Oryctolagus cuniculus: one gene and its partner. The protein of the gene in region 2 interacts with the protein of the main gene of each other region in a biochemical or structural test. Links are inferred from orthologs where the notes say so. Each region holds a gene or a part of one and is shown on either strand. Other genes may lie near its edges. The genes, in order: RLN3 and RXFP3.

Evidence for each region.
Region 1: the proteins of RXFP3 (region 2) and RLN3 form a complex in vitro, tested with the Homo sapiens proteins (2 studies listed by BioGRID, with this or other methods). The link is inferred for Oryctolagus cuniculus from reciprocal best matches to the Homo sapiens genes RXFP3 and RLN3.

Annotation. Positions count from the first base shown.
Region 1 is NC_091447.1:62,920,003-62,933,724, reverse strand, and holds RLN3 (relaxin-3 precursor), read right to left. Parts: upstream 1,686-13,722; coding exon 1,484-1,685; intron 740-1,483; coding exon 501-739; downstream 1-500. UniProt on the Homo sapiens protein: May play a role in neuropeptide signaling processes. Ligand for LGR7, RXFP3 and RXFP4.
Region 2 is NC_091445.1:59,991,320-60,008,504, forward strand, and holds RXFP3 (relaxin-3 receptor 1), read left to right. Parts: upstream 1-7,302; 5' UTR 7,303-8,934; coding exon 8,935-10,332; 3' UTR 10,333-11,775; downstream 11,776-17,185. Other genes in the region: SLC45A2 (membrane-associated transporter protein), read right to left, coding at 17,097-17,185. UniProt on the Homo sapiens protein: Receptor for RNL3/relaxin-3. Binding of the ligand inhibit cAMP accumulation.

The DNA of each region.
Region 1 (13,722 bases), on a different chromosome or scaffold from region 2:
CCCGCCGCCGCCCCCGCAGCCTTGGGTCCCGCCCCTGGCCCCCGCTGCGGCGGGAAGTCCCCGGAGTGGCTCGGCTGGGGCGGGGCTGGGGACACGGGGGAGGCGGAAACCCATCCTCATCTGCCCTCTCCCCCCTCCTAGCGACGACACCCAACTCGGCGAGGCCTTTGAACAACTTTTATTTTCCTTTTAACGCGGCACTACCCCCCACCAGGTCCCCGAGCTAGGGGTCTCGCCAGCATCCGAGTGGGTGACAAGGCTGGGCTGGGACAGGGACGTCGTTTAGGGGAGGCAGGGGCGTGTGCGGGGAGGAGGGGTGCTCAGTGCACCAGGCAGAGGCTTGGTTTGAGGCTGCAGTTGGGGTCAGGAGTCCCCCTGTGGCCAGTGAGGAGCAGAGCTGGCGCTCCGTCCATGGTCAAGGCTGGGGCCAGGGGCCGGGGGGAGGAGTGGAAGGCGGGGCTGGGGGCCCGGCTGCTGCTCCCCGGCGTCTCCCGCGGGCGCTAGCATAGGATGCTGAGTTGGCTCTTGGTGCAGCCCCACTTGCAACAGAAGCTAGAGAGCCCACCCTGGATGTCACGGCTCTCCCGGGCGGCCTCCGGGGTTTCCTGCCAGCCGGCTCGGCCCCTGGAGAGGGCCTGGGGGGACTGGGGGAGTGCCAGCCACTCGCTGGAGCTCATGGACTCGTCCGGCTGTCCTGCCAGGCTGTCGGTGTCGGCGTCTGCGTCGGGGAAGACCTCCCCTGGAAAAGAAAAGAAAGAAGTGTGAGAGCTTGGGGCTCAGCGGCTGTCGCACCCCGACTTCTGCGTCTCGGCTGGGCCTGGGCAACTTCTCTGCTGCTGAAACTCAAGCGTTGGGGCGTGAGGTTTTGGTCCTGCTCAGTTCTGGCTGTGTTATCAGTCTGTTCTATGGGCAGGTTATTTAACTTTACCAACACGTGTAACTTTCCTCTCTTTGTCATTTATTCCCCCTTACTCTTTATATAATGGAGGACCTGGTAGTTAAGAGCTGGGCTGACTGCACACAGATCCAATCCTGAGGAAGTGAAATTCCTTCCTTGAGCCCATTTCCTTGTATGGAAAGTCTTGGGGGGGGGAGGCGTTATAGTCCCCAACTTCTTCAGGGGTCGAAGTAGTAGAGTTCAGACAGAAAATGAGTGTTCAAGCCACATGCAGAATACCACGGGTTGTGTGTCAAGCACGACCTCTGAACCCCACGCGATTCTAAGTGTGTCACCAGGGAGTTCAGAGAGAGAGGAGAGGCCACGGCCAGGCGAGGTCACCCAGTAAGGTAGCAAATCTGGCCCCTCACCCTGGCCACCCCAGACAGCACCTCAGCCTTGGCAATGGCACCCACGCGCACCCCAGCCCTTGAGCCCTCCATCCAGGCTGAGGGGAGGTCTCCCCCAACCCGGGCCCTGCCGCCCTGGTCCCCATCTCTCCTGCGACCTGCAGGTCACCCGTCCCCCTTCTGGCCCCAGCCTCACCGGTGGCTTCCCTGGCCAGGATGTCCGAGCGCCGCCAGCGGGAGCTGCCGCACGTGTAGATAACAGCGCGGATGAATTCACGGCCGCAGAGTTTCACGGCGTAGGGCGCAGTCCGGGCCTCGGCGGCCCCGAGCCAGCGCTCGCCGGCCAGCGCCCACCCGCTCAGGAGCGGCAGCAGGAGCAGCACCCAGCACTTGGCCATGGTGGACAGAGCGACGCCTCGGACTGCAAGGGCCGCTCGGATCTCTGCCACCTGCCGGTCCCCCACCCATTTATACATCGGCGCCTCCCCGCACCCAGCCTGCCTGAGGCCGAGTCACCTCGCTTATCTCTCCCAGCACAGACACACGTCTGGGTCACTCCTCGCCCCCACCAGCTCCGACCTTTCCCGTCTCCCGCTAGGACGAAGCGATAACCTTTCTCCAGGGAGCAGGTGACACGGCTCAGCTGGCCGTCAGCATCCATCGCCCGGGGCCGGGGACTTTGACTCAAGCCGACCCCTGCCAGGGGAAGGGGAGGGGGCTCAGCCAGACCCCCGCCCGCAGGGTTGGCGTGCACAGCTCTCTTCTGAAGTATAGTAAGAGTGAATGTTCCATGCTTACGGGAACACGGACAGCTGTTTGCATTTTCTGCCTGCATAGTGTGTGTGCATGTATTTTTAAAGAGTTATTTATTTGAAAGGCAGGGTTATGGGGCGCGGGGCAGCGAGAGAGACAGAGAGAGGTCTTCCATCCACTGGTTCTCTCCCCAAATGGCCGCACGACTGGAGCTTGTCCCATCCGAAGCCAGGAGCTTCTTCTGGGTCTCCCATGTGGGTGTAGGGGCCCAAGCACTTGGGCCATCTTCCACTGCTTTCCCAGGCCACAGCAGAGAGCTGGATCGGAAATGGAGCAGCTGGGACTTGAACCAGCGCCCATATGGGATGCTGGCACTGCAGACGGCGGCTTTACCTGCTACACCACAGCACTGGCCCCTGCGTGCCTACGTTTTAGTCCCAGCTCTGATTCCAAGCTCCCTGCTAATGCACAGCCTGAGAGCCAACAGTGATGGCCTGAGTCCTTGGGTCCCTGCCACCCACGTGGGAGACCCGGATGGAGCTCCTGGCTCCTGGCTTCAGCCTGACCCAGCCTTGACTGCTGTGGCCATTTGGGGAGTGAAGCAGAGGATAAGAGATGAGGCCGTTTAGTGGCACTGGGGGTCTGTGCGCCCCCTCAGACGTAGGCAGTGGCTGGAAAGCCTGTCTCCAGACCCACTGGCATCTCCCCCACTAATGGATTCTCTGCTGTAGGTGTGACCTTTCAGCCTCAAGTCACACCTCCAGAGTGGCTGCGACCCTGCACCCAGAGCTGGCAGAGGAAGGGGTCTGAGCCCCTAAGGGGGTGGACAGCTTCCAGGAGACCCCCGCTATGTCCATGAGCCCCAAGCCAATCAGCAAATGTATGTGAAACCCTGCCCACCACTGTCCAATGGGGACCCCCAATAGGGGGAGAAAGAGAGAGAGAGAGAACCTTCCACCTGCTGGTTCACTCCCCAAATGCCCACACCAGCCAGGACTGGGTCAAGCTGAAGCCAGGAGCCAGGAGCTCCGTCCGGGTCTCCCACGTGGGTGCAGGGGCCCAAGCACTTGGGCCATCCTCTGCTGCTTACCCAGGTGCATTAGCAGGGAGCTGGATCAGAAGTGGAGCAGCCGGGGCTCGAACCTGTGCTCCTATGGGAGGCAGTGGCTCATCCCACTGTGCTCCAAAGCCAGCTCCCAAAATAAATTATTTTTTTAAAGACCCAAAAGTTGTTCATCAACCCAAGAACTACAGCTGCTCTGGTGAGGGGCTGGCCTGGGTTCAAATCCCAGCTCTGCGCCCTCCGTGCTGTGCGTCCTTAGGCTGCTCACTGCCCTTCTCTGTGCCCTGGTTTCTGTCCCTGGCCTCCTAGGGAACTTTGGTGGTGGGGAGTGGGGCCGGGGGTGCGCCCGAATCTGACAGCAGTGGCTGGCTCGCAATCCGTGCTATTTGCCTGTCTCTCCCTTCGGGTTGGAACTTTATCCCTGTGGCCTTTGCTTGGCCACCAGTGCCCGGCTCCCGGGTGCCCCCTGAGGCTCTGGAAGGCAGAGGGCGCATGGGATGGCTGCTGGGGGAAAGGCTGATGAATAATTCGTCTTCACCTCTGACTCCTCTGATGCCGCAGAGGTCAGGGGCTGTCGGGGATGTGGGGTGATGCGCCCTCGCTCTCCTCCCCCAGGTCTCCGACACCTGGCTCAGGACTGGTGAAAAACCAACGCACAGCGAAGTCTCCTGTCTGATTGACTGATTTAATGAACTGGCCTGGAGCCAGAAGCAGAAGGCTCAGTATTTATTATCTGCCTTTTTTTTTTACAGGCAGAGTGGACAGGGAGAGAGAGAGACAGAGAGAAAGGTCTTCCTTTGCCATTGGTTCACCCTCCAATGGCTGGCGCGGCCGGCGCGCTGTGGCCAGCGCACCACGCTGATCCGATGGCAAGAGCCTGGTACTTATCCTGGTCTCTCATGGGGTGCAGGGCCCAAGCACCTGGGCCATCCTCCACTGTACTCCCGGGCCACAGCAGAGAGCTGGCCTGGAAGAGGGGCAACCAGGAGGACAGAATCCGGCGCCCCAACCGGGACTAGAACCCGGTGTGCCGGCGCCGCTGGGCGTAGGATTAGCCTAGTGAGCCGCGGCGCTGGCCTATTATCTGCCTTTGATTTGGAAGGCAGAGACACAGACAGACAGAGACAGACACACCTACAGATGGCCCCTCCATCTGCTGCTTTGCTCCCCAAATGCCCACACTGGAGCACCATTTTTTTTTTAATTTATTTGGCAGGTAGAGTGACAGACAGTGAGAGAGAGAGAGAGACAGAGAGAAAGGTCTTCCTTCTGTTGGTTCACCCCCCAAATGGTCGCTACGGCTGGCGCTGCGCCGATCCGAAGCCAGGAGCCAGGTGCTTCCTCCTGGTCTCCAATGCGGGTTGCACTGGTTTGAGTCCTGGCTGCTCTGCTTCGGAACCAGCCCCCTGCTACAGCACCTGGGAGGCAGCACGTGAGGGCCCAAGTACCTGGGTCCCTGCCACCTATGAGGGAGACCCGGATGGAGCTCCTGGCTCCTGGCTTCAAGCCTGGCCCAGCCCTGACTGTTGTGGGCATTTGGGGACTGAATCAATGGGTGGCAGATCTCTCTCTGTCTCTCTCTCTCTCTTTCTTAGTTGCTCTTTCAAATAAATAATTTTTTAAAGAGACAAGAGGGCAGCTGGCGCTGTGGTGTAATGGGTAAAGCCACCACCTGCAGCACTGGCATCCAATAGGGGCGCTGGTTTGAGTCCTGGCTGCTCCACTTCCGATCCAGCTCTCTGCTATGGCCTGGGAAAGCAGTGGAAGATGCCCCAAGTCTTTGGACCCCTGCACCTGCGTGGGAGACCCGGATGGAGCTCCTGGCTCCTGGCTTTGGATAGGCGCAACTCTGGTCAATGCAGCCAATTGGGGAGTGAACCAGCAGATGGAGACCTCTCCCTCTCTCCCTCCATCCCTCCCTCCCTCCATCTCTCTCTCTCTCTCTCTCTCTCTCTCTGTAATTCTACCTTTCAAATAAATGAATAAATCTTTAAGAGAGAGAGAGAGAGCGAGAGAGAGAGATCAGAGGAAGTGCCGCATGAAGACGGAGGCAGAGGCTGTGCGCAGTGGCCTCAGAACCCACGGCCACACCTGGAGATGCCGCCGGAAACCAGCAGAGGCAGGAAACAACCACCCCGGGATTTCTGGTCTCCCAAACAACGCGAGAGGAGAAATGACCATTGTTGTACCTCTCCCAGTTTGTGACCGTTTGTCAGAGCCACACAGGAAATGAACTCACAGGAGCAGGGAAATGGGGGGTGGGGTGGCGGGCGTTGCGGCTCCGTGGCTAAGCTTGGAGACATCCACACGCCGGAGTGGAGCCCCAGTGAGGAGTCCCGGCTCCTCTGCTTCTGCTCCGGCCTCCTGCTAAGGCATCTGGGGAAGCAGTAGGTGAGGGGTCAGTACCTGGATTCCTGCCTCCCACGTGGGTACCCAGATGGCGCTCCTGGCTCCCGGCTGTGGTGGGCATTTGAGGAGTGAACCAATGGATGGGAGATCTCTCCCTTCCTCTCTGTCTCTACCTCTCTCTGTCTCTGCCTTTCAAATAAAAATAAGTACAAATTAAAAAGAAAAATGTGGGGCTGGCACTGTGGCATAGCTTGTTAAACTGTCACCTGTGGTGCTGGCATCCCACAGGGGCGCCAGTTCAAGTCCCGGCTGCTCCTCTTCTGATCCAGCTCTGCTGTGGCCTGGGAAAGCAGTGGAGGATGGCCCAAGTGCTTGGGCCCCTGCACTCATGTGGGAGACCCGGATGAGGTTTTTGGTTCCTGGGTTTGGCTTGACCCAGCCCAGGCCGTTTGTGGCCATGTGGGGAGTGAACCAATGGATCTCCAGGTCTCCCACACGGGTGCAGGGGCCCAAGGATTTGGGCCATCTTCTACTGCTTTCCCAGGCCGTAGCAGAGAGCTATATCAGAAAGGGAGCAGGTGCCCATAGGGGATGTCGGTGCTGCAGGTGGAAGCTTAACCCAATGTGCCTCAGCACTGGCTCCCTTTTTTTCTTTATTTAGTTTCAAGAATCTGTAGAAACGTCATTTGATACACATGTAAGGGCATGTGTGTAAACTCTCCATAAATTACCTTAACAAAAGATTTGAAAGGCAGAGTAGGAGAGACACACACAGAGAGAGAGAGAAGTGAGAGAGAGAGAGGTCTTCCATCTGCTAGTTCATTCCCCAAATGCCCCACAATAGCCAAGCCTGCGCCAGGCTGAAGCCAGGAGCCAGGAGCTTCTTCCAGGTCCCCCACACAGGTGCAGGGACCCAAGGACTTGGGCCATCTTCCACTGCTTTCCCAGGCCATAGCAGAAGGCTGGATCGGAAATGGAGCAGCTGGGACTCGAACCAGCGCCCATATGGGATGCTGGCACTGCCGGCTTTACCCACTATGTCACAGCTCTGCCCCAAACTTCTCTTTTTACTATTTTTTTCTTTTGACAGGCAGAGTGGACAGTGAGAGAGAGAGACAGAGAGAAAGGTCTTCCTTTTGCTGTTTGCTCACCCTCCAATGGCTGCCGCTGGTGCACCATGCTGATCTGAAGGCAGGAGCCAGGTGCTTTTCCTGGTCTCCCATGGGGTGCAGGGCCCAAGCACCTGGGCCATCCTCCACTGCACTCCCTGGCCACAGCAGAGAGCTGGCCTGGAAGAGGGGCAACCGGGACAGAATCCGGCACCCCGACCAGGACTAGAACCCGGTGTGCCGGCGCTGCAAGGCAGAGGATTAGCCTATTGAGCCGCAGCCCCGGCCTTCTTTTTACTATTGAAAATAAATATTCGTTTATTTACCTGAAAGACAGAAAGACACACAGCCAGGGATCTCCCACCTGCTGGTTCACTCCCCAAATGCCCACAATAACTGGACCTAGCCAGGCTGAAGCCAGGAGCTTCATCTGGGTCTCCCACATGCATACTGGCGCCATAGCACTTGGACCATCGTCCACTGCTTTCCCAGGTGCATCAGCCGGGAGCTGGATGGGAAGCAGAGAAGCCGGGACTCAAACCTGCGCTCCGATACCAGATGCTGGCGTCACAGACGGCAGCTTAGCCCACCGAAACACAAATGCCAACACCAGGTTTTAGTTTAAATAGCTGCTGATGGCCAGAGACTCCAACATGCGGCTGCACAGGTGCCTAACCTGGCTTCCTGTCCCCAGAGACTCACTTCTGGCATGCCTCACTTCCCACTCGGCCACCTGCACCCCCCCCCCGTACCCTTGAACCCTATCTGACCGAGTTCCGCCTCTCCCCAGCCTCCATCTCGCCTCGGACAGCCCAGGCAAAGCCCTCGCTGATTTAATATCCAACCGTCCGTCTCAGATCTCCAATCGCTCGGGTTTTCCTGAATCCATACCGGTTTCTTGAAGGTGTCTGTGTGTCCCCTGGACAGGTAGGGGCTGCTTGAAACAGCTATGGGGAAGAACCCCAGTTGCTGGAATTGGCTTAACTTCTTTTAGGTCGGTGCTACATTGTTGCATTTTCTTCCAAAGGCCAAGTCTTCTTCCTCCAGCTTTTTCCCAACAAAAAACCTGCCTTTCCACTTGGAGATATATAAGCAAAAAAAAAAAAAAAAAAAAAAGATAAAGGTGGATGGTGTCCCAAGCCTTTTTCTTCTACATATCCAAGGAGCCAGGGAGATAACCTTTCAGATTTTTTTTTTCATTCTTGGTGAATATCAATGCATTCTTTTTTTTTTTTTTTTTCCCAGCTTCTTGTCCTGTAGGCTGTAGGTTGCAGTGACTCCAGCTGTGGATTCCAAGATGGTGTTAACTCATCAAGACTCCACAGTCAACGCCTTGTGCCTCAGTATCTGTTTGGCTGAGCTTTCCCGAGCCCCAGGATCCACTGTATCAAGGGCTTTTTTGCAACAATGTTTCAATAGGTCTCAGTAACGGGGCTGGGTGTTTAGCTTAGCAGTGACCATGTGTTGGTGGCTGGATTCTGTTCCTGGCTGCGACGGGATGAGCCCAGCGCCCTGCACATGCGCACACCCTGGGAGGCAGCAGGTGGCCCTCAAGACCTTGGGTCCCTGCCACCCACACAGGAGACCTGGATGGAGTTCTGAGCTCCTGGCTCTTGTGGGGCCTTTGGGGAAGGAGCCAGGGACAGAAGTTTCTCTCTCTAGCCCTCAAATAAATACATATTATTTTTTTTTCCCTTTTACACCACAGGTACACAGGTTGAAAGGGTTGCTGGTAACAGCAGCCTAGTATTCACCCCCTATGCCCACTGGACAGAAAGCAAAAATACTCAGGCTTGTATGCTGAAGATTCTGGACTACAAGTTGTTGTTGTTGTTGTTGTTTTGTTTGTTTTGACAGGCAGAGTGGGCAGTGAGATTGAGAGACAGAGAGAAAGGTCTTTCTTTGCCGTTGGTTCACCCTCCAATGGCCGGCGTGGCCGGCGCGCTGCGGCCGGCGCACCATGCTGATCCGAAGCCAGGAGCCAGGTGCTTCTCCTGGTCTCCCATGGGGTTCAGGGCCCAAGCACCTGGGCCATCCTCCACTGTACTCCCTGGCCACAGCAGAGAGCTGGCCTGGAAGAGGGGCAACCAGGATAGAATCTGGTGCCCCAACCGGGACTAGAACCCGGTGTGCTGGCGCCGCAAGGCGGAGGATTAGCCTAGTGAGCCGCAGCGCAGGCCACAAGTTCTTTTTTTAGGAAAAGGTTTATTGTGGGTGGGGGAAGCCCTACCAGCCGGGGGTGGGGGGGTGGTCGAGAGGAGAGAGCGCGAGAGAGCGAGCACGTGTTCGCCCGGGGTCGGGCAGGGAAGTGGGAGCAGTGAATCCCATTGGGGTGGGGGTTGAGCTGACACCTGTGGTTGGGCCATGGGGTTCCCTGGCTCCCAACAATGGCAGCGGGGTGGGGGCTAGAGCCTAGGATGGTGTCGGGGCGTAGGTCACACCACAGACAAGACTGCACCATTTCACTAACAGCCCCCACCCCTTTAAAAAAAAAGGCAAGAGTTGTATGGGTTAGATGAGCCCCGAAAGTCCAGGAGGGGTGGAGGGACCATGATCTGTCTTTAGAGCTGCTTCCTGCTGACATGGACATCTTTAAGTTTTGTTTGTTTGTTTGTTTGTTTAAGATTTATTTATTTGAAAGGCAGAGTTACAGAGAGGCAGAGAGAGAGACTCTTCCATCCTCTGGGTCACTTCCCAGATGGCTGCAACACCCAGTGCTGGGCCAGGCAGAAGCCAGGAGCCAGGAGCTCCATCGGGTCTCCCATGTGGGTTTCGGGGGCCCCAGCACTTAGACCGTCTTCCGCTGCCTTCCCAGGTGCATTCGCAGGGAGCTGGATCAGAAGTGGAGCAGCCAGGACTGGAACCAGCCCTCATGGTCCGCTTAACCCACTCTGGGAAATTTCCAGCTGCTGCTGCCCCGTCTCCCGGCACCTTAGCCAGATGTTCCAGCCGCAGGCATCACAGCTGCAGGCCCCTGCGCCTTTCTGGCACATTCCCGAGGACCCCTCGCCATGCTCACCTCAAATGAGGGGACCTGTCTGTCCTCTCCCAGGCCTTTGCACGGAACCCGGCTGGAACTAGGAAACAGCAGCCCAGAGAGACGCAGCCACTTCCCCAGTGTCACACAGCAGAGCTGGGGATTAGAACCCAGCAAGCAGCGGGGCTCGGAGCTTCCTGGGAAGACACTGAAGGAGGAGCCAAAAACAGCTTAGTCATCAGAAGAATTAATACTTTAAAAAGAGGGGCGGCGCTGTGGTGTAGCAGGTAAAACTGCCACCTGCAGCGCAGGCATCTCATAGGGGCACCGGTTCGAGTCCCGGCTGCTCCACTTCCGATCCAGCTGCTATGGCTTGGGAAAACAGTGGAAGATGACCCAAGTGTTTGGGCCCCTGCACCTGCATGGGAGATCCAGGAAGAATTCCTGGTTCCCAGCTTCAGCCTGGCCCAGCTCTGGTCATTGTGGCCAACTGGGGAGTGAGCCAGTGGATGGAAGACTTCTGTGTGTGTGTGTGTGTGGCTCCCTTTCAGCCTGTAACTCTGCCTCTCAAATAAATAAATCTTAAAAAAAAAAAATCTTTAAAAAAATGAAGCCTACCTAAACCTAAAGACAAAAAAAAAAAAAAAAAAAAAAAAAAACCGGTACAATGACCAAAAGTGTTTAAAAAGATTTATTTAAAAAAACTCAGGCAAATCCAAGAACACGGACGTCATTTGAAAAATCACCTTGGTGTATCTTTAAGGGATACAAGACGTTATAACACATAGGGTGCTTACTACGAGCTAGAGTAACAGTGTTACTATAGAGGAACAAATTAACATATCCGTTTTCCCAAACAGTTACTCATGTTCCCCAGCCCTAGCGGTTGAGAGTGGGCAAAAATCCTGAATACAAAAAAAAAAAAGCATTTTCGTTGGCAGATCGGGCTCTGCTTGCGGAACACCCCTAACTCTGCTCACGGGTTTCTTCTGCACCTTGCACGCGAGCATGGGGAGCTCCTGCAGCCGGGGGCCCCCGCGCCCGCGTGCAGGGCCGGCGCTGACCTTTGCTTATCGCCCGCCGGCGGGAGACCTTTCCCTGGGCGGCCGCCGGGGCGGCGGTGACCTTTCCCGGGCCCACAGCCGCTGCCCGCGCCCACCCCAGCCCACCCCAGCCCACCCGCCAAGGGCCACGGGCCGGGGGTGGGGAAGCGCGCGCCCGGTGACGTCACAGAGGGCGGTGCTGCGTCACCGCATTCCCCCCGTGACGTCAGCGCCAGGGGCCAGACCCCGGCTTCCCGAGGGAGGAAGACGACCGAAGGCAGAGCTGCTTCTTTTCTCGCTGTTTTCCATTTGGTGAGTACGGAGAGGCGGACTACAACTCCCAGGAGGCCTTGTGCGGGGGGCGCAGGCGCACAGCCTCCGGCCAGGGAACGCGGTAAAGCTTCGGTGTAGATTGGCGTTTCCGTAGTCGAACAAGAAGGCTGGTTTCACAGCCGCTCGCCAATCCCCGGCCTCACAGACTCCACCCCTCTATTCTTAGCCCTCGGCTTCCCGGAGGGAGCGGCGCACTCTCCGGCCTTTGAGTGTTCAGTTTCCTTTGATGGACATTCGCCTTGCCGAATCGGAGCGCCAGGCAGTCAAGAGGGTGTTGAAAAGCGTGCCTGGCGGCCAATAGCCAAGCGGCACGGCCCGGCACCGCCAATCGCCCAGGGCCCCGCCCCGGCGCGTGACGTCAGTAGGGTGGGTAGCAACAGTTGCCCCGGTGAGGGAAACGGAGGCGCCATAGCCACGGTAGTCGTGGCGACCAAGCAACCCGGCAACGCGAGTCAACAACAACAAGCGCCCTGCCGACCCCCGCCCCCACGCCCCCGGCCCAGCCCGGGGGCCCCGGCGCGTCCCGTCCCCCTCGCCACACCGCCTCCGACAGCTCCGCGGGGCCCCTCCGCGGACGGAAGCGGGCAGAAGCCGAGGTAACCGGGGCGGCCCCGGGGCGGCGGGCCGGGCCGGGGCGCAGGCAGCGGGCGGCGCCGCAGTCACAGCCCGGGGGGAAGGGGCGGGCGGCCAAAATGGCGGCCGTGGGGGGAGGGGGCCGGGGCCCGGCCGGGGCGACGCCACCCGCGAGGGGCGGGCGCTCGCAGGCCGGCTGCGAGTGGCGGTCGCGCGGCCCGGGCGGGGGGCTTTTATATGGGGAGGCGCGAAGGGGCAGGCCTGGGGGGGGGCTGGGCCAATGGGAAGGAGCGGGCCGCGGGTAGGCGGGGCCTGGCGGAAAGGTGTGGGCGGAGCCGGCGGCTTCCCCCTGCGGGAGCCGGGTGGGGCTGTCCCGGGCCACCTGCGCCTCTGGGCTCCTCCGCCGTCCCCAGGACTCAGCTAGGACGCGGAGGGCCTGGCGCAGGCGAGATCTCAGTTTTCCCTTCTGCGAAATGGGCAGAGTGGATTCCCTGTCCGCTTCTCCTCCTACAGTCCGGGGTCTCCCGCCCAAGTCCCTGCAGGCGTTTTTCCCGGGGGGTGTTCCCCTTGGAACCTTGGAGCCCCAGCTCCTGTTTCGGAATGTGGTTCTGAGTGGGGATTAGCTAACCTTAGCTTCAGCCCTGTCTTCTGTCTGGGAGCCTGGGGCGCTGGCGACCTCGAAGCCCCTGGCAGGGTGGCGGAGGTCCTGAGTGAGATTTAGGGGAAGTGAGACTGGGGTTGGGGTGCCTGCTGGAGGTGACAGGATTGCTGCTTCCCCCTCTTCTGCCCATCAGCGTCCCCCCCTTTCTGGGCATGGGGCGGCCAAGGGCGCCTGAGGAAGTTGTTACTGGATTTTTTTTTTTTATCCCTTTGGCCGCTCCTCCTGGCCAGCACACACATGATTTTGTGTCAAGTTGGTGCCGGCCGGGTCACATGTCACTTGCCGGGGTAGCAGGCGTCCCCGGGGCCACGTGGGCTGGCGCAGCGGCAGGCCGCAGCGGTCAAGGGAAGGGGATGGGTATCCTCGTTTGTCAGCGGAGAATCTTTGTAATTGTTTTTCGGGGCCACCAGACCCGCCAGCCTGGAGAGGGAAGGAGGCAGGGGGGAGGGGTGTAGATTTTTGCAAGTTGCCAGCCGGGCCGGGCCCGCAGTGGCTTTCCTGTGTTGGTCGTTGAGCTTGGTGGGCACACAAACCGATCCGCTCCTAAGAAAATGTCCGTTTCCAGCGTCGCTCCCAAGGGCTTGAGATCGGGGTTAGGAGGATTGGGGGGGGGGGGGCGGGCGGTCTCATCCTCCGGTGTTTTTTTTTTTTTTTTTTTTTCACTTCTTAGACTGCAGATCGGAGAGAGGCCGCCTTGGGGGCTGGCCCTGGGCACCACCCACCCAGGTGCAGAGGGGTCATTGCCTAGGGAGAGACCCCCGCTGGGGCTGTGTCAGCTGGTCTCTGGGGCAGTCGCTCGCCTGAATTCTTTTAGTCTCCTGTCACTGCGCCGAGCGGCCGCCTGGATGGTGCAGCAGCTACCCCAGAACCGCCCTGCCCGCATCGCGTAGCCATGACGTCATGACGATGGTTGTTGACGTCGAGCTGTGGGTGTTGATTTGTTGAGCTGTGGGTGTTGATTTTTATCATACTGAGTGAGAGCCCGGTAGCTTTACTGATTTGTTTTTAAAGATGTTTTATTATTTGAAAGGCAGAGACAGAGAGAGAGAGAGAGAAAGGTCTTCCATCCGCTGGTACACTTCCCATTTGGCCACAACAGCTGGTGCTGCGCCAATCCAAAGCCAGGAGCCAGGAGCTTCCTCCAGGTCTCCCACGCAGGTGCAGGGGTCCAAGGACTTGGGTCATCTTCCACTGCTTTCCCAGGCCATAGCAGAGAGCTGGACTGGAAGTGGAGCAGCTGGGACTCAAACCAGCGCCTGTGTGGGATGCCGGTGCCGCAGGCAGCAGCTCTCTATGGCCGAGTGCTAGCACTCCCAGTGCCTTTAAAGGTTGGCTCGGCTTGTGCTGGGCCATGTGAGTTAGCATCAGGGACCCCAGAAGCTGCACACGGGGACTCCAGGTGCTGGCCGGGGTGGGGGTCACTGTCCCAGCTGCTGGACGGTGGCCCCATCTGTGGCATTAGGGAAGTGCTCAGGGCCAGGGCCTGGAGGCAGCCTGTGGAGCTGAGGTCCTCGCTGGCACCCCAAACCTGAGCATCTCAGGGGCCGGGCTGGCCAGGCAGGGCCTTCTGCAGG
Region 2 (17,185 bases):
GTAAGAGCTGGGGGAAGGGAGGTCTTTCACCATCTCCTCTAGGCTGCCCTACAAGCATGCAGAGCAGGTTTTGACTGCCAGAGAAGGGCCATAGAGGAGTCAGAGGGCCCGGTCCCTGAAAGTCAAATAGTCAACTAGGAATGTGGCATGCACTGAGGGGAGATGGACAGGATATCAACAGCATTTTCTACTCCTACTTAAATCCTGCCAGCAGCTCCCTGTTACATTTTGAAAGCAATCCAAACTCTTATTCATGGTTTTCCAGGCTATTGCTCATGATGGCCTCTTCATGGGTCACTCCCCAAGCATGGTCTCTCATGCAGGATTAACTTGTATTTTTTGCTCATTGCCTGCACCTGCTAGAACGGTCTGCCCAAATCTGTTGGCCGGTTATTGTTTAGAGTTGTAGTTAGAGAACTTTCAGCCACTTGCAGACAGACTGCCTTGTCCTGTCTTTCTGTTTTTACATGTCCTTCTGCCAAAACCCATGAAGATAAACATGAATCAATGTGTGTCTCTCACTGCTTCCAATGTTGACAATGCAGATGCCTTGCAAGAGAGCTGCAAATGTGCCTGGCCCAGGACTCAAAAAAATCTAAAGGAAGAAATCTGGTAGGACACAGGAGAGCTGAAATCCTATGTGCTGCTCAATGCCAATAAGTGAGCCACCAGGTCACTGCAAATGTGGGCAAGGTACAACAGTGCCTGTTTCCTTCAAATAAACAGCTGCTGCTTCACTCCCAATGCTGTGTCTTTTCAAAAAATAATATCTATTTATTAATTTAAAAGACAGAGTGACACATGGAGAAATACACTCAGAGAGAGAGAGAGAGAGAGAGAGAGAGAAGAGAGAATCTTTCATCCACAAATTTACTCTCCAAATGGCCACAATAGCTCAGGCTAAGCCAGGCTGAAGCCAGAAGCCTAAAATTCCATCCAGGTCTCCCAAGTGGGTGGTAGGGTCCCAAGCACTTGGGCCATTTTGTGCTGCCTTCCCACATCCATTAACAGGGAGCTAGATCAGAAGCATGGCAGCTGGAACTCAATCTGGCAATCCAGCATGGGATGGCAACATTGCAAGCAATAGCTTAAACCACTGAACCACAGCACTGGCCCCAATCCTGCATCTTTTCACTCCTTGAATGTGAATCTAATTTTTGCAAGATTCCTCCAGCTATGTGGCATAGCTTTTGGGTTGTTACATAGAAGCAGTTCTGTTAGCTTCTATTTGGTCTTTTCTAATATCATAGCCCTCACTCCATAGACTAGGGAATCGAAGTAGAGATTGTGCCCCAGTTGTTGAATATACCTTCTGAACCTGTGTAAATATGCTAGTCGTTGAATATGCCTTCTGAACCTGTATGAAAAATCACAGTATGGTGTCAGGAACCCATTGAGCCCTCTGTATGATAGAATTGATGAAAACATAATTGATCACCTAATCTCTATAAGCTTCTACTCTAGTTGGTGAATAGCAATGGAATGTTGTTTCACCAGGAATTGGTGTCAGCTCATAGCCAAAGTCCTATTATTTCCCTTCGTTAATGTCTGATCAACCTGGTAAATGAAGGCAGTTTCTTTGGTGACAGGTAAGAATGATTATAGTACACATTTCACAGTTCTTCCTCAAGGAGACCTGCCTCTTCTTCATCCAGGAGATTGTAAGTCTATAAATCAGCTCAACTCCGTTCATTGTTGGAGGGGCTGATTCAAGTAAGACTTCTATTCATAACAGCGACTTTTTTTTTTTTTTTTTGCTTATGCATACCAAGTAGGACTTTTCTAGCTTGCCTTCTATTTCAGCACTAGAGGCAATGGTCAGTTAGCTAACAAGGAGTATAGGTTTAGGTCAAATTGTTCTGATTACTCTTTCACACTGCTGCTCATGGCCATAATCTGTCCCACCTCACCTCTGGGAATTAAGTGCCTCCACGGAATCCCTGATGCCTTGGGAGGACATCACTACTGAATTCAGCAAGTTTAGCTCAATAGCAGCAGCTCCTTCTTCCATTCCTGGCTTACTGATCACAGCCACCACAGAAAGATTTTCAAAGAAAAAGATTTTCAAAGTCCCCTCAGGGATGTTTTCTCGTCTGCCATAGGGATATGGTGGGGGGGGCTTCTTGACCCTCTTGGGAAGCAAGTTATGGATGACTGAGCAGATCTCACATAGGAAATCTTTGCTATCATTCTTTCTTCCTAAGCTCCTATATGCTGCTCCCTAAAGTATATCATGAAACTTTTGGCTTTTCAATATCATTTTGTCTAGGATACTCTGACTCTGTTTCAGTCAACCCATGAGCATACTGCTAGAGCTGCTTCCTGCAGGTTGAGTAATACACTGAATCTGGAATCTCTGTTTTGTGCACTCATATCAACCAACATGACCCTCCAGCACTATATGCCCTCCACTACTAGGATTTCATTCCTATAAAGATTCCCAGGTTTCTTCAGTAAAATTGCCTAAATGCTGGAATTCTTTTGATGTGCATCACTCTTCCTTGCCAGTCACATCTCGTGTCTCACTTTCTGGGCCCTGCCAGGACTCAGTCTAATTATAGAGCCCCTGGATAACAAGTAGAAGGAGCAAAGCCCTGCAAGGCATCAGAACATTGCAGTTTCTTCAGACAAGGAGAAGCTGACATTCTCAAATGAAGAAGAACCCAATTTTTATTTTAATTTTGAGTAAAGATTTTTCACAACTTAAGGAGAATTTGGGGATATTTGAGTGAAAATTACACTGAACAAATAAGAATAATGAATTCTAATGGGGCAAAAAGCCACACAAGAAAATAATATCAATCATCGCATACTGCGTGACTTGTCATTAACCAAGTTTCCATGGCCATTGCAGGGTAAAGGGCAGATATTTATCTTCCCAAAGTAAAACATAACTAAGTGGGGGCTGACGGCGTGGCTCACTTGGTTAATCCTCCGCCTGCAGCGCTAGGTTCTAGTCCTAGTTGCTCCTCTTCCAGTCCAGCTCTCTGCTGTGGCCCAGGAAGGCAGTGGAGGATGGCTCAGTGCTTGGGCCCTGCACCATCATGGGAAACCAGGAGGAAGCACCTGGCTCCTGTCTTCAGATCTGCATAGCTCCAGCTGTAGTGGCCATTTAGAGGGTGAACCAACAGAAGGAAGACCTTTCTCTGTCTCTCTCCCTCACTGTCTAACTCTATCCATCAAATAAATAAATAAAAAACATAACTAAATGGAGAGGTGTTGGAATGTCAGTATAAGTGGAAAAAGACAGTGAAGAAAAGAGGCTAACCATTCACCTTCCATTGTGTGAAGTGAAAAACAATGCTTACAATGAAAAAAATACAGAAACAATACAAGCAAATCTACCACATTTATCAAGACATATAGCAAAATAGCTGTTTAAAATACTTTGAATGTGCTTCTGGGTAGCTGAATAGAGCAGGTTCAGCCATCAGGGAGCTACAGTTTTTCACATTTTACTCTTCCACTAATGTTTCTCATTGAATTGGTCTAAGATTGGCACTGGCATCAATGTTTTTAAAGGTTTCACACTGACTTTGAAGTACAGGTGGCTTTAAGCTAGACATAGATGAATCTTAGAAGAAAATAAAGTATTATAAAACAGAGTTAGATTTGCATATTTTCAATGAGTGCATAATTAGAGGAAACTTCTAAATTACCTTTGAAAATTTGCATCCTGTTTTGGATTGCCTTTACTGTATGATCTCACCCAAATGCAGAATCCAATCAACTATTCTGTCCTGTATCCACACATGTGAAATATCTAGGCTCAATACTAAGAGCAAACGATGATAATGACACATGCCCTTCCTACACAAGGATGACACTGTTTTAATGAGATGAGAAATACACAGAAAGGGCCCTGGTGCTCCTTATGTAATGATGCACGCCTTCAGAGACAAGCTGACAGAGGGCTCTATAAAAGCTAACAATGGAAAAAATAAGATATATAATTTATTAATACCTTTCCAAAAAATAAAATTCAATCTCATTAAATGCTCTCATAGCAACTGGAAGTTCATGTTGATTTTTAAAACTTTTCATTTGAAAAGAGGTATTACAATTAAATCAAGATGTTCATGAATAGTTAAAGGTTACTTCATTTTAAGGATTTATTTGTTTATTTTGAAAGTCAGAATTACAGAGAGAGAGAGGGAGACAGAGAGAGAGAAAAAGAGAGAAAGAGAGATCTATCTTCCATCTTCTGGTTTACTCCCTGGATGGCCACAACAGCCAGTGATGGGCCAGGCCAAAGCCAGGAGCCAGGAGCTTCATTCAAGTCTCCCATATGGATGGCATAGGCCCAAGTACCTGGGCCACCTTCTACTTCTTTTCCCAGGCTATTAGCAGGGAACTGGATTGGAAGTGGAGCAGTAGGGATAAGAACTGGCACCCAGGCTGGCACCGCGGCTCACTAGGCTAATCCTCCGCCTGTGGCACCGGCACACTGGGTTCTAGTCCCAGTCAAGGCACCAGATTCTGTCCCAGTTGCCCCTCTTCCAGGCCAGCTTTCTGCTGTGGCCAGGAAGTGCAGTGGAGGATGGCCCAAGTCCTTGGGCCCTGCACCCCATGGGAGACCAGGATAAGTACCTGGCTCCTGCCGTCAGATCAGTGCGGTGCGCTGGCCGCGGCGGCCATTAGAGGGTGAACCAACGGCAAAGGAAGACCTTTCTCTCTGTCTCTCTCTCTCTGTCCACTCTGCCTGTCAAAAAAAAAAAAAAAAAAGAACTGGAACCCATAGGGGACACTAGTGCCTCAGGGATGGCTTTACCTCCTATACCACAAAGCCAGTCCCAAAAAGTTACTTCTTGCATATAATTTTATAACTTTCTATTTCACTTTGTTTTCTTTCTTGTGATAATTTTAATCATACAATTCATTACAATTCTAATTTTCTACATATTCGTATCAACTATTAGAATGTGAGTTCTGGTAGATGACAGTTTTCACTAAATCTCCCTTACATGGCCTAGTACCTTGCATAAGTTTGTACTCAGTGAATAGCTCTTTGATGTGTGAACAATATGTTAAGATGAGCTAATATGTTTAACTCAGAATAGCAGGTAATGTTCAAGCCAGGCTTATGTACCACCTTCCTGGTTTTCTATTGCTGCTATAACAAAAGACCACAAATACTGTGGCATAAGATACGAAAAACCTATTCTTCCCCAGCTTTAGAGATCGGAAGTCTGAAATTAGTTCCACTGGCATAAAGTCAAGGTAGTGGCAGAGCTGGTTTACTTCATGAGGCTTTGGGAAAGAATCCATATTATTGCTTTCCTCAGCTTCTAGTGGCTACATGTATTCTTAGCTGGTGGTCCCTCCCTCTGTCTTCAAAAATCATAACTAATCACTGCTTCTGTCATCACATTGCCTTCTTCTCTGATTCTGACTCCTCTTTCTTATCTCTTATAAAGACTCTTGTGAATATATTGGGACCATCTGTATAATCCATAGTCATCTCTCTGATGTCAAGACCTTTGATTTCATTGAAGTCCTTTTGTCCATATAAAGTAACATTCAAAGGCCCAGGAGTCAGAATGCAGATGTACTTCGTGATTCAGCCTACCACACACTACTTTATTGAAAAATTCTGATTGAGTCAGATCCAGTTGAGAAATGGAACATGGAACAAGAGAAGTCACTTATATTTTAGACCTAGTGTGGCTACTTCCTAACCATAGGATTCTGGGAAAATTCCTTCACATCTTCAGGCTTCCTCTGCAAAATACCAAGACTAAAGCCAGTGCTCTCTTACATTCTCTGATTATGGGTTTCCAGTGGTTATTAACTAAGATATACTTTTTACATTGTCCACACTCATGGCTTCACAAAATTCACATGGCTTCAAGCATACAAATACAGTGCAGAAAATGGTTTCAAGGTCTCACATTCTGTCACTAAGAAGGAGAAAGGACTTCTTGTAGGTAATAGGATATTTCTCTGGACATCCATAACAACCCAACCTTAATTTGAGGGGAAGATGGGGATAGAGAAAAACACAATGCATGTGGTAAAACAAGGTCTGCATCCTTCCTGTTTCATGGTTCATTCAAAACAAACATAAATAGAAAACCCTTGAGATAACAAAAAATTGAAACTGGAACAACTCATCAAAGTACTGTATAATGGCTTATTATGTGCCCAAATCTTAACAAAATTAGAGGGAAAATCAAACTAAAATTATTGTCCATGTATCTGCCAAAGATCATTACATTCTAGAAAACTTAGTCATGCACTAGACTAAACAAAAAATACAGTCACAGACAGTGCTATATTGGACACTTATTTCAAGGAAAAGTTTCAGAGAGGATCAAAACAGAGGGTTTTTGTCACAGTAAATCCTTCAGTCTCACTCAGTGCCCAGCAAAGAGTAAATGGCCAATGAGTGTGAGATGCATCAGATCAAGCCCTTTGCAATACTCTTAATAAAATGTGAAAACTTCACATGATTTGAGGCAGAAAAAGTAGATATAAGGGTACTTCAACAAATTTGTAGAAACTCTAATTAAGAATAAGTTTATTTTGGTGCCAAAACATTGAAATTCATGATAAGAGGTTCATAAAAAGTTCATGGAAATGTATACTATGAAAAACCTATACATAAATTTGAAAATTTTTGCACCAAATTAAACTTACCTTGCAGTTCTATTTTTCCACAATTTGAAGTTTTTTCATATGGTCCTAGGTAGGGCTAGAAGCACTAAGACAAAAAGCTGTATACTTGGTTGATTAGGGCCATTATTGTGAACATATGAATAACTTAACAACAGAGGGATTTCAAATTTTTCCCGGGCTTCCTTTATTTTATTTTATTTATTTGAAAGAGAGAAAAAAAGAAACAGTTTCCATCTTCTAGTTCACTGCCAAGATAGCTACAACAGGCCAGTCGGCAATGCAACCCAGGTTTCTGATATGGGTGGCAGGGACTCAACTACTTGAGACATCATTGCTGCCTTCCAGGGTCTGTATTTGCAGCAAACTGGAATCACCACTTGGAGTCAGGCATCAAACTCTAGTCTAGCCATTGGGATAGGCTTTCTTGTTTTTTGATAACACCTTGCACTATTATGAAAGATAAAACTGTTTCAGAGAAAGAACTAGCAAAAAGTAAAACGAAAGTGAGTGTGAAGGTCGGGCTGCTAACAGGGAATAAAGTGTTTTCAGGAAGAATCAGAGCATACAAGGAGGAAAGGAGAGGGCTTGGCTTGGGTTCTGTTTTTTCTAAAGCCCTGGCGCCCTCTAGTGAAAAGATAGAGCAATCTAGCATCCACACAGAGAAGTTTTCCTAACCACCTGTGTTCTGGCCTGGGAATCAAGGTTTTTTTCTGTTTCCCTTTTTTTATGGGGTGGGGGACACACCATGTTTCTTCACTACTAAGTGTTTTTTATATATTCTTTTCTTAGAAGTCACATTCATTTTATCTCCACAAGCAAAGCCTCAAGTTCCACATTACCCCAGGAGTGAGGACAATCACTGTATGCTTACAATACTTCTGTTTCTGTTTAGTCTCAATGAGGAACATTTTTAATTTTTAAATTTCTTAAATCCATTCTTTAAAAGCATATTTAACCAGAGAAATTGACCTGGAATTTCAACAACACAAAATTCAGAAGCCAGTCAGTTTCCACTGTTTCCTTTGCCAAAAGGCATTTAAGAGATTCCCTAGAATTTACTCCCAGTGGTCTGAAAAACACCTTACAGAGATAGATGGTTATAATAATAGTGTTAATTAGAAGACTGCATCCATAGCCACCCCCCAAGGTCTCCTCTGTTCCATCTACCTCTAGATGAAGACAGTGTGGGTGAATCTAACAATTTGTTGGGGAGTTCTGGATGAGGACTGTACAGGTGGAGCAGGCTCACCTGTTCTCTGCTATGTTTAGTTTCACTTCTCAGAACACAGTAAAGTACAGGCAACAGTAACCAGAGTTGTGCTATGTGGAGACCCTTTGAAAACCCCATCTCAGAGAGGAAGATGTAGAAGAAGAGGAGCTCGCCTCTGTGTATTCCGTTAGGACCCATCGTCTTAGTGTGCGGGAGGCCACTATCACTGCTGTAAAAACGGAAGCGGGTAGGATCGTTCCAATAATAAAATGGAAATGAGAAGTTCAGAAAAAAAACCAAATAGCTCGAGCCGCAATGTTTGGGAATAAGGAAGGAAAAGGGAACTCAGATTATAATAGGCTTTCTCCAGCAATACAGGACAATAAAGGGTTCTGATCATTTCTTTCTGCATCTTGGGAAAGCAGAGAGGCGTTGCGGGCGCTCTGCCTGTCCCGCGGGCGCGGCTGCGTTCAGCACCTCGGAAAGCGCCCCTGGCTCCGCGCGGGAGCCACGCATGCTCCTTGGGGTCCGCCGCCGCGGGTCTGCGAGCACTGATACAACTCCGGCGAGCGCCGCCGGCAACTCTCTCGGAGTTGGCAATAGCGGAGAGATCCAGACACCCGCGGACCTCCAGGCAGTCAGAGCCGGGGAGCCAGAACATCCCAACCTCATTTTCTCTCAGCAGCAACAGTAGAGAAAAACCGACAAAGGTATTGGAAACGGCAGGCGCGGGCCCTGGGCGGCTGGGTGGGTTAGGCGCCAGCGCCCTAAGTGACAGCGGGGAACGGAGGGAGGCAGTCAGCGGCGTGCATGCATGGGGACCCGGTGACTGCGCCCCCGGCCCAGGCAGCCTGGGACGCCGACCGCTGGCTCGCCTGGGGAGCTGCATTTCTCTGGTCTCTTGCCCCTCTCCGGAGCAGCCGCTGAGTTCAACTCCAGAACCTGCGCTCTGACCCCCATCTGCACTCGCTTCCCAGGCGCTGTCTTCAGCGGCTACTTTGAAAGCTCCCGCGCACTGGCCGCGCGCTTGCCTGGGGACTAAACCCGCTGCCAATCGTGCTCCCTACAGTCTCGCCCCCCGGAACATGCCCTAGAGGCACCTGCGCATGCAGGTGGCTGCGACAGCCGCGATGAACACCATGAAGAAGGCGGCGGCCGGCGGGGACGAGCTCGCAGGACTCTTGGGTCTGGTACCGGACCTCCTGGAAGCTGCCAACTCAAGTGTCAACGGGTCGCTGCAGCTACAGGACTTGTGGTGGGAGCTGGGGCTGGAGCTGCCGGACGGCGCGCCCCCCGGCAGTGTCGCGGCGGAGAGTGCGGACACGGAAGCGCGGGTGCGGATCCTTATCAGCGCAGTGTACTGGGTGGTTTGCGCGCTGGGGCTGGCGGGCAACCTGCTGGTGCTGTACCTGATGAAGAGCAAGCAGGGCTGGCGCAAGTCCTCCATCAACCTCTTCGTCACCAACCTGGCGCTGACAGACTTCCAGTTCGTGCTCACCTTGCCCTTCTGGGCCATGGAGAATGCGCTCGACTTCAGATGGCCCTTTGGCAACGCCATGTGTAAGATCGTGTCTGTCGTGACGTCCATGAACATGTACGCCAGCGTCTTCTTCCTCACCGCCATGAGCGTGGTGCGCTACTACTCGGTGGCCTCGGCTCTAAAGAGCCACCGGACCCAAGGGCACAGCCGGTGCGACTGCTGCGGCCAAAGCCTGGGAGACAGCTGCTGCTTCTCGGCCAAAGCCCTGTGCGTGTTCATCTGGGCTTCAGCCGTGCTGGCCTCGCTGCCCAATGCCATCTTCTCCACCACGATCAAGGTGATGGGCGACGAGCTGTGCCTGGTACGCTTCCCGGACAAGTTGCTGGGCGGCGACCGGCAGTTCTGGCTGGGCCTGTACCACTCGCAAAAGGTGCTGCTGGGCTTCCTGCTGCCTCTGGGCGTCATCAGCCTGTGCTACCTGCTGCTGGTGCGCTTCATCTCCGATCGTCGTGTGGTGGGGACCGAAGGAGGGACAGCGGCCAGGGGCGGCCTGACGGGAGCCAGCGCCCGGAGACGGGCCAAGGTCACCAAGTCAGTGACCATCGTCGTTCTCTCCTTCTTCCTCTGCTGGCTGCCCAACCAGGCGCTCACCACCTGGAGCATCCTCATCAAGTTCAATGCGGTGCCCTTCAGCCAAGAGTACTTCCTGTGCCAGGTGTACGCATTCCCAGTGAGCGTGTGCCTGGCACACTCCAACAGCTGCCTCAACCCCATCCTCTACTGTCTCGTGCGCCGTGAGTTCCGCAAGGCGCTCAAGAGCCTGCTGTGGCGCATCGCGTCGCCTTCGCTCACCAGCATGCGCCCCTTCACCGCCACCACTAAGCCAGAACCCGAAGACCACGGGCTGCAGGCCCTGGCGCCAATCCACGCAGCCGCCGAGCCCGACCTGCTCTACTACCCGCCTGGCGTCGTGGTCTACAGCGGGGGGCACTACGACCTGCTGCCCAGCAGCTCCGCCTACTAACGCCGGCGGAGGCCCAGGGTGTGAGGTCTGTTGGGCAAAATGGCCTTGAAGTAGGTGGGAAGGGGATGGTGCTCCAGTGTGGCGGCGCCCACAAAAGAAGCGGCACCGGGAATGCAGAGAAGCAAGGGTTTGAGAGTGAGGCTCAGCCACAAGGTGCACAATGGAGCGCATTTTTTCCAGCGACTTTCAAAGTCTTTGATAATGGCTGCCGGCTGCCTCCAGCGAGAGGTGCGGCTCTCTCAGATCCCTCCCTCTACGCTTTGGCCCTGGAGGCTGTGGCTGTGCAAAGGTCCAACTCAAAGTGTCTAGAGAGCCTGGAGTTTTAGAGGCAAGAAACTTTCCCCCTTGTTAGAAGAGGGGGCGTGTTGGTCCATTCCCAGGGGGAGTGTGGGAGGAGAAGCACCTCCCTCCGAGTCATTGTAGCATTGATCACCCTGCTTTGGGAGGCTGGGCACTTTCTGCGTCCTACCTCATCGGCCTCTGAGCTCAGAAGTCACCAGGAGCATAACACCTGCCGCCAGCAAGGGGGAGCGATTCACTTAAGAGTAGTGTGGCCGCGCGAGAGGGAGCTGACTACAGGGACTGAGGAGAGAACCACGTCGGGGTACTGTCCCAAGAAGGAAAACGTGGGCTCACCTGTTCATTTGGTAACAACAGGAAGTGGAGCTCCAGGCGCGGGCTGAAAGCCCTGGCGCTTCACTTTTGAGGGCTCTCTGGGTACCTGGAGACTGAGCTCCGTTCTGGGAGCCGCAGGTGAGCCGGGCCCAGAACGCCTACCAGAGCTCTACTGGAGGGTGGGGGCGCTCCTGAGGCCCTTCCTCTTCCCTCCGTGAAAATCCGGATTCCCCTTTGAGGCTGTGGCCCAGACAAGAGGCGTGGCTCAGGGCCGTTCTTAGGAGGCTGAGCTAGCAATGCTGTTCCAATGTGCAGGGGGCTCTTGCCAAGCAAATCCTCGGAGCTGAAGTCTGATCTTTCAAGAGAAGGGGCAGGGTGAGAAACAGAAGGGAAGAGAAGCAAAACCTGTCCTAAAGGGAGGAGGGGAGGGGAGGTGCTGGTTTGAGGGCACGCCCCGGAATATCAGGTGTGGGTTATTTACTGCTCATACTGTTCACAAGAGAAAGCAGAAATAGAATTCCCATAGGACATTACCTTAACCCATTCCATTTGTGCTTTGCACATTGAGCATGTGTGATGAATCCCGCCCACCCCCCAACTTCCAGTCTCTGTGGCTGTCTCCGAAGAATGACAGATTTCTCATGACAGCTCTCTTCTAGTCACAGCCGTTGAATATTGGAGACCCTCACAAAGTCCTGTCTTGAGCTGCTCTGAGAACTGGGATCACACCTCAGCGTCCCCATTCATATGCTTGCTTTGATAGCAGCACTACTGTTCTCCTTGATGATTTGGTTTGGGGTCAAGAAACCAGCAATGTAGGCAGTATTGTGGTTATTTTAATACAATAAATCGTTATTAGAAAATACATGTCTCTGAGCTGTAGAATTGCTGAGTGATTTTGTTGGAAATTTTTCTGCAGTGTTTCAGATGTAAGCTCAAAATGTGAGATGTAAAACTCCAGCCTCCCTTGCTTGTCCTGCTTTGTCACACAACACAGTGAAATTGCTAACCACTCATCCCTTGCCACAAAAACAAAACTGCCCAATTTCAGTCCTGAGCAGTCTTGAGAAGTTAGTTCTTTTAGAAACCAGACTCATGTTTCTGAAGTAGTCAAATTAGTCTTTCCTTGGGGAGAAAATTTGTTGATACTGAATAACAATTGGGATAACAAAAGTGGAGGTGTCCCCCAAAATACAAAATAAATGAGTGAACACTAGTAAGAACCAACAGTAGCATACCCCTGCATAACACCCATACTAAACTTTTAGTAAGAAACTCCTGTTAAAACAACTTATCACTTCAGTTGGGACAATAAGTTCATGTGTAAGTAGCTTAGAACTCAGAAAAGTGTTTTGGAGTGTGTGTGTTATGCTATATGGGCACTGGAAAGACAGAAGAGGCTAGAAGTGAGGTCTTCATATGAAACAGCTCTGTGGAAAGCATTGCCTGTCCAAATCCAAAGCTGAAGGCTTCTGAGACCATAACAGGGGGATCCATGACCGTGATTTCTGTCCTCCACAAGGACAAAGGGGTTGGAAAGGAAATAGTCAACTCAACTGACATCAGCCAATAGTTTTCACGTGTACCTCTTGCCAAACCTTGTGTTGGGTGCTGAGGTAAGGTCCATGGTCCAGATACATTCCTGACTTCATGTTTAGAAGGGCAGCCAGCCATGGACACAAGCAAGATCAGACAGGGAGCACCACAGCAAGGCTAAAAGAAAACTCAGAGGGAAGACAGGGGAAAGGAAGATGATTCCCCAGGAGGGATTCAGAGACTTCCTGGTCAAAGGGGTATTTGACATACAGGGCACAGTGTGGGCCCGATGCAGGGTGGTGAGGGAGTCATGAAGACATTTGAAGCTGAGGGCATAGTGTGACCGAAGGCCTGGAGGCTGGAATGTATGCTTGATTGAGGAGGCAGGAAGCAAAGCACTGGCTTCCCCTACTCCTTCCCAGGATTTCCATTGAAGTTATATGTGTCCTTACATTTGTTTTATCTGTCTGGAAACAGAACTTTTTTGCCAGAGAGAACAGGTTGTTAGTGTACTGAGAAGAAGCATTTGAGGTCCCAACAGTGCTTAAAGGCTTTTTAAAATTGGATTCTACCCAGTTGGTCAAACTTCAGTGGAACTGAGTACAATGAGTAAAGTATTTGCACATCATGTTTTAGTGGGTGTGTGGAGGGGATCATAACTGCTATAGCTCCCTTCCTCAGCTCAGTATCCTATCTGATGTCCCATCTAAAAGAAGTTTCGAGCCGGCGCCGTGGCTCACTAGGCTAATCCTCCGCCTAGCGGCGCCGGCACACCGGGTTCTAGTCCCGGTTGGGGCGCCGGATTCTGTCTCGGTTGCCCCTCTTCCAGGCCAGCTCTCTGCTGTGGCCAGGGAGTGCAGTGGAGGATGGCCCAGGTGCTTGGGCCCTGCACCCCATGGGAGACCAGGAAAAGCACCTGGCTCCTGGCTCCTGCCATCGGATCAGCGAGGTGCACCGGCCGCAGCGCCGGCCGCGGCGGCCATTGGAGGGTGAACCAACGGCAAAGGAAGACCTTTCTCTCTGTCTCTCTCTCTCTCACTGTCCACTCTGCCTGTCAAAAAATAAAAATAAATAAATAAATAAAAAAGAAGTTTCATTTGTAACAAAGATGATGCCCTGTCATTGATCAGAGTTAACTTCTTGAGGGACCATATAGGATGGATCAATTTCCCAGCTCCCCCATCCAGTCATTTCTAAATCTTCCAATACCAGAACAGTCTTTAGAGAAACAGTAAATCAGTATGAACCCTGCAGGATGTCTCATTTATTTTTTTTAAAGATGTACTTATTTATTTCAAAGTCAGAGTTACACAGAAAGGAGAGGCAGAGAGAATGGTCTTCCATCCACTAGTTCACTCCCCAGATGGGCGCAACCCCTGGAGCTGAGCCGATCCGAAGCCAGGAACAGGAGCTTCTTCCAGGTTTCCCACGTGGGTACAGGAGCCCAAGGACTTGGGCCATCTTCTACTGCTTTCCCAGGCTATAGCAGAGAGCTGAATCGGAAGTGGAGCAGCCGGGACTCAGACTGGAGCCCATATGGGATGTCGGCAGGGCAGGCAGTGTCTTTACCCGCTATACCACAGTGCTGGTCCCAGGATGTTTCATTTCTAAACTTTACAAAGGCAGTGCAGATAGGTGAAGCAAGAAAGGTGGTTTGGTTCCACTTCTTTTATAATGCTCAGAGTACTGACACGGGGTCCTCTGAGTATGTGACCCTCAATACCCCAAGCAAAACCCCATGGAAGCAGGGGTTTTTCCTGATTATTCCTCTAAGTCAGTCATGACCTCATTTTCTCAGGATGGATGATGAGGCTGAAAGATGTGGAGAAGAGGGTGGAAAGAAGAATGGCAAAGATAGGGTAGTTGTCCACATGCATCCTATAAAGAACGGGAGAGTTTTATCTGCAAGTGAGGCACTAATAGGAGTAGGGTGGCAGAGCACGAGAAGTGCTGGTTTGGAGAGAATAATGCTTGAGGGTTGATAAATGAAACAACAATGCACTCGGGTCTGAGAAGACAGCCCAGCCTGGTGAGGACAGCACCAGAGATCTGGAAAGAATGGGATAAACTACAGGAGCCTGGAGTGCTTGGTGTCAGGTAAGGAAGATGTGTGTCCTGCTGGTAACACAGGTAAGCAGTGAACAGGAAGGAGCCCCCAGCCCTCCATCAGCCCTCTTGCCCTTTCTGCACATACACACATGTGGCCTGCTCCACAAGGATGTTCCAGATGTCCCAGCCTACAACACTAACCCTGCCGCAGTTCCCATTGTGATAACCAGGTAGCAGCAAAGAGCAGGCTTTTTAATCAAGGAGAAAGCAGTTGAGAGAATTGCAGCAGCAAAGTACAAGCCCAGGCAGGAGGAGGAGGAAGAGAACAAATTGAGATGACAGGAATCTAGCTGCGTTTGGAGACCACTGGAAGGAGGAAGCTGAAACACTGAATGACAACGGATCTGCTTGCAGGCTGTGTTTTTGGGATAGTAATCTGCAAAGCTGCTCTTGGCCTTGGGCCCCTGCTCTGGGTTTTATCATTAGAGGACTCAGCTCTACCTGTCTCCCTCCAGCTGCGCTCTTTTCTGCACAGGGAACCCACCGGGCTGAGTGCAGCCTGTGCCCCCCACCTTCTAGATCATGTGCCAGTACCTCAGACCTCAGAATAATTCATCCAAACACCCCTGAGTCCGTTGACAAATCCCTCACAAATCCTTTCTGGAATCCACCCCCCAGAGGGCAAAGCACACGACTGAGGCTATGAGACCCTAGTATGAGAGGGGGTAAGGAGGGCTGTTTGCAGGAGTGGCAGGGGGTGAAGGGTTGTGGGAGACCATGGATGTGCTGAAGGCAAAGTGCACACAAGGACTCACAAGGTGCTGGACAGAAATAAGAATGCAAGGAGAAGGGAAGACGAACGGGCTGTGGACCTGGGTCTGCATCCATACTTGCGGGCTGGACTCCACAAATGCTAGGAGTGCTCCTGAGCCCCTCATCCACCCAACAGTTGTGTGTAAGAGGACCCAAAGCTTTCCAGAGGACAAGCAGGACATGCTTCCTCTTCCCAGGATCACTGCCTCTATGAGCTGATGCTGCAGGGGCCTGGCCATGCTCTGAGCCCATAAATTCTACTATGTATGGGACAAACGACTACAGTATCTCAAAGACAGTTCATTTCATTTTTTCCTTCCTGGCAACAAAGACCTGGGATGGTTAGAAATCCAATGGAGGCAATCCATGAGTGCACGCCCAGACTCCGAGATGAGGTCAGATAGCAGCACAGCATTAACTCCTGAATACAGAAGGACAAATCTCCATTCTGCACTAGTCAGGCTCACTGGGTGTGGTACAGGCAAACGCTTAAGACCAGAGAAGACCTGGGGTGGGGGAACAGGAGGATGAACCACTAGCAGTAGTCTGGTGCACTCGCTGTCATTTGTTGAGCACCAACCAGGGCCAGCCCAGCCTAGGTGCTGTGGGCACAGGAAGCAACAGAACCAAAGTACCAGGGTGCAAAGCGCAGCTCTGCCACTAGTGACCTGGCTGATTTCAGGTGAGTTCTAGAACTCTCTGCCTCAGTTTCCTCATCCTCATAATGAGACCAGTGAGTGACAGCACCAGCTCCCAGGACTGCTGATGAACACAGGTGAAATACTTAGTGCAGTGGGAAGCACTCTCGGAGTTTTGTGTCATTACTCATGACTGAGGTAGGAACAACCATTCTAAATGTGCAGATGGGCAGATGTGGCTGAAGGAAGTCCGTTTGCTGCTGGATAACAAAGCCAGGATTCTAAACCAGCCTGATGCCAAAGTTTGTGATCATTCTATTAAGCCTTGCTCGTCTCTGGAGACTGCTAAAAACCTCACCCTATTAGGAGCAGCTGAAGAGGAATGGTTGGCGAAAAACTGCTTAGCCTGTAGAACAGAAGATCACAGCAGAAACCGGAGGCTGTTTTTTGAAAGACTTAATATCAACTCCAGAGGAGGGAAAAAAGAGCGTGGACTAGAAAGGACTTATTTTTTCCCTGTGTCAATGAAATAAGCTGCTTGAAGGTAGCAAATCCTCCAGCATGAGACATTTGGGCAGATTTGCCAGAAGCATCATAAATTAATAGGAATTAATTATGAGCAAATTAAATATGAATAAAGTAATACCACAAATCATCAGCATAATATTTGGCATATTTGATGAAATATGACTCCCCAACTACAAACGGCTCCTGGTTAAGATAGAAAAAAATATGCCATAAAACAAATCCAAGTGTCATGTGCAAATGACATCATATGCAATTAGTCTGCTTCTCAAGTTTCATCAAGGCCTAGAGGTTCACTCTGTCTCTCCAACTTACATGCTGAGAGGCAGTAGGGAGGGTGCTCATTGCTGCTACCACCCACACACACTCATTGCCCCCAGTGCACGGAGACATAGCCCACGTGATGGTGCCCAAATAGGAGGACTGCTGTGCAGAGGACTGGACAGTGTAGGAGGCTGCTGACCACAACTGAAATCACAGCACGGGAATCCAAAGGGCAGACCCCCAGGATGCAAAATTTCCAAAAAGACTGGTTTTATGCCATGCGTGTCACCTGTCAAAGGGTAGGATCAATGTCTCTTTATTGACCTAATTCACGTATCTAACAAAGAGAGCCACGAAGCAGCAGCCGATCAATGCCACTGCAGAGGCTGTGATCACCACGACAATGACGCTCC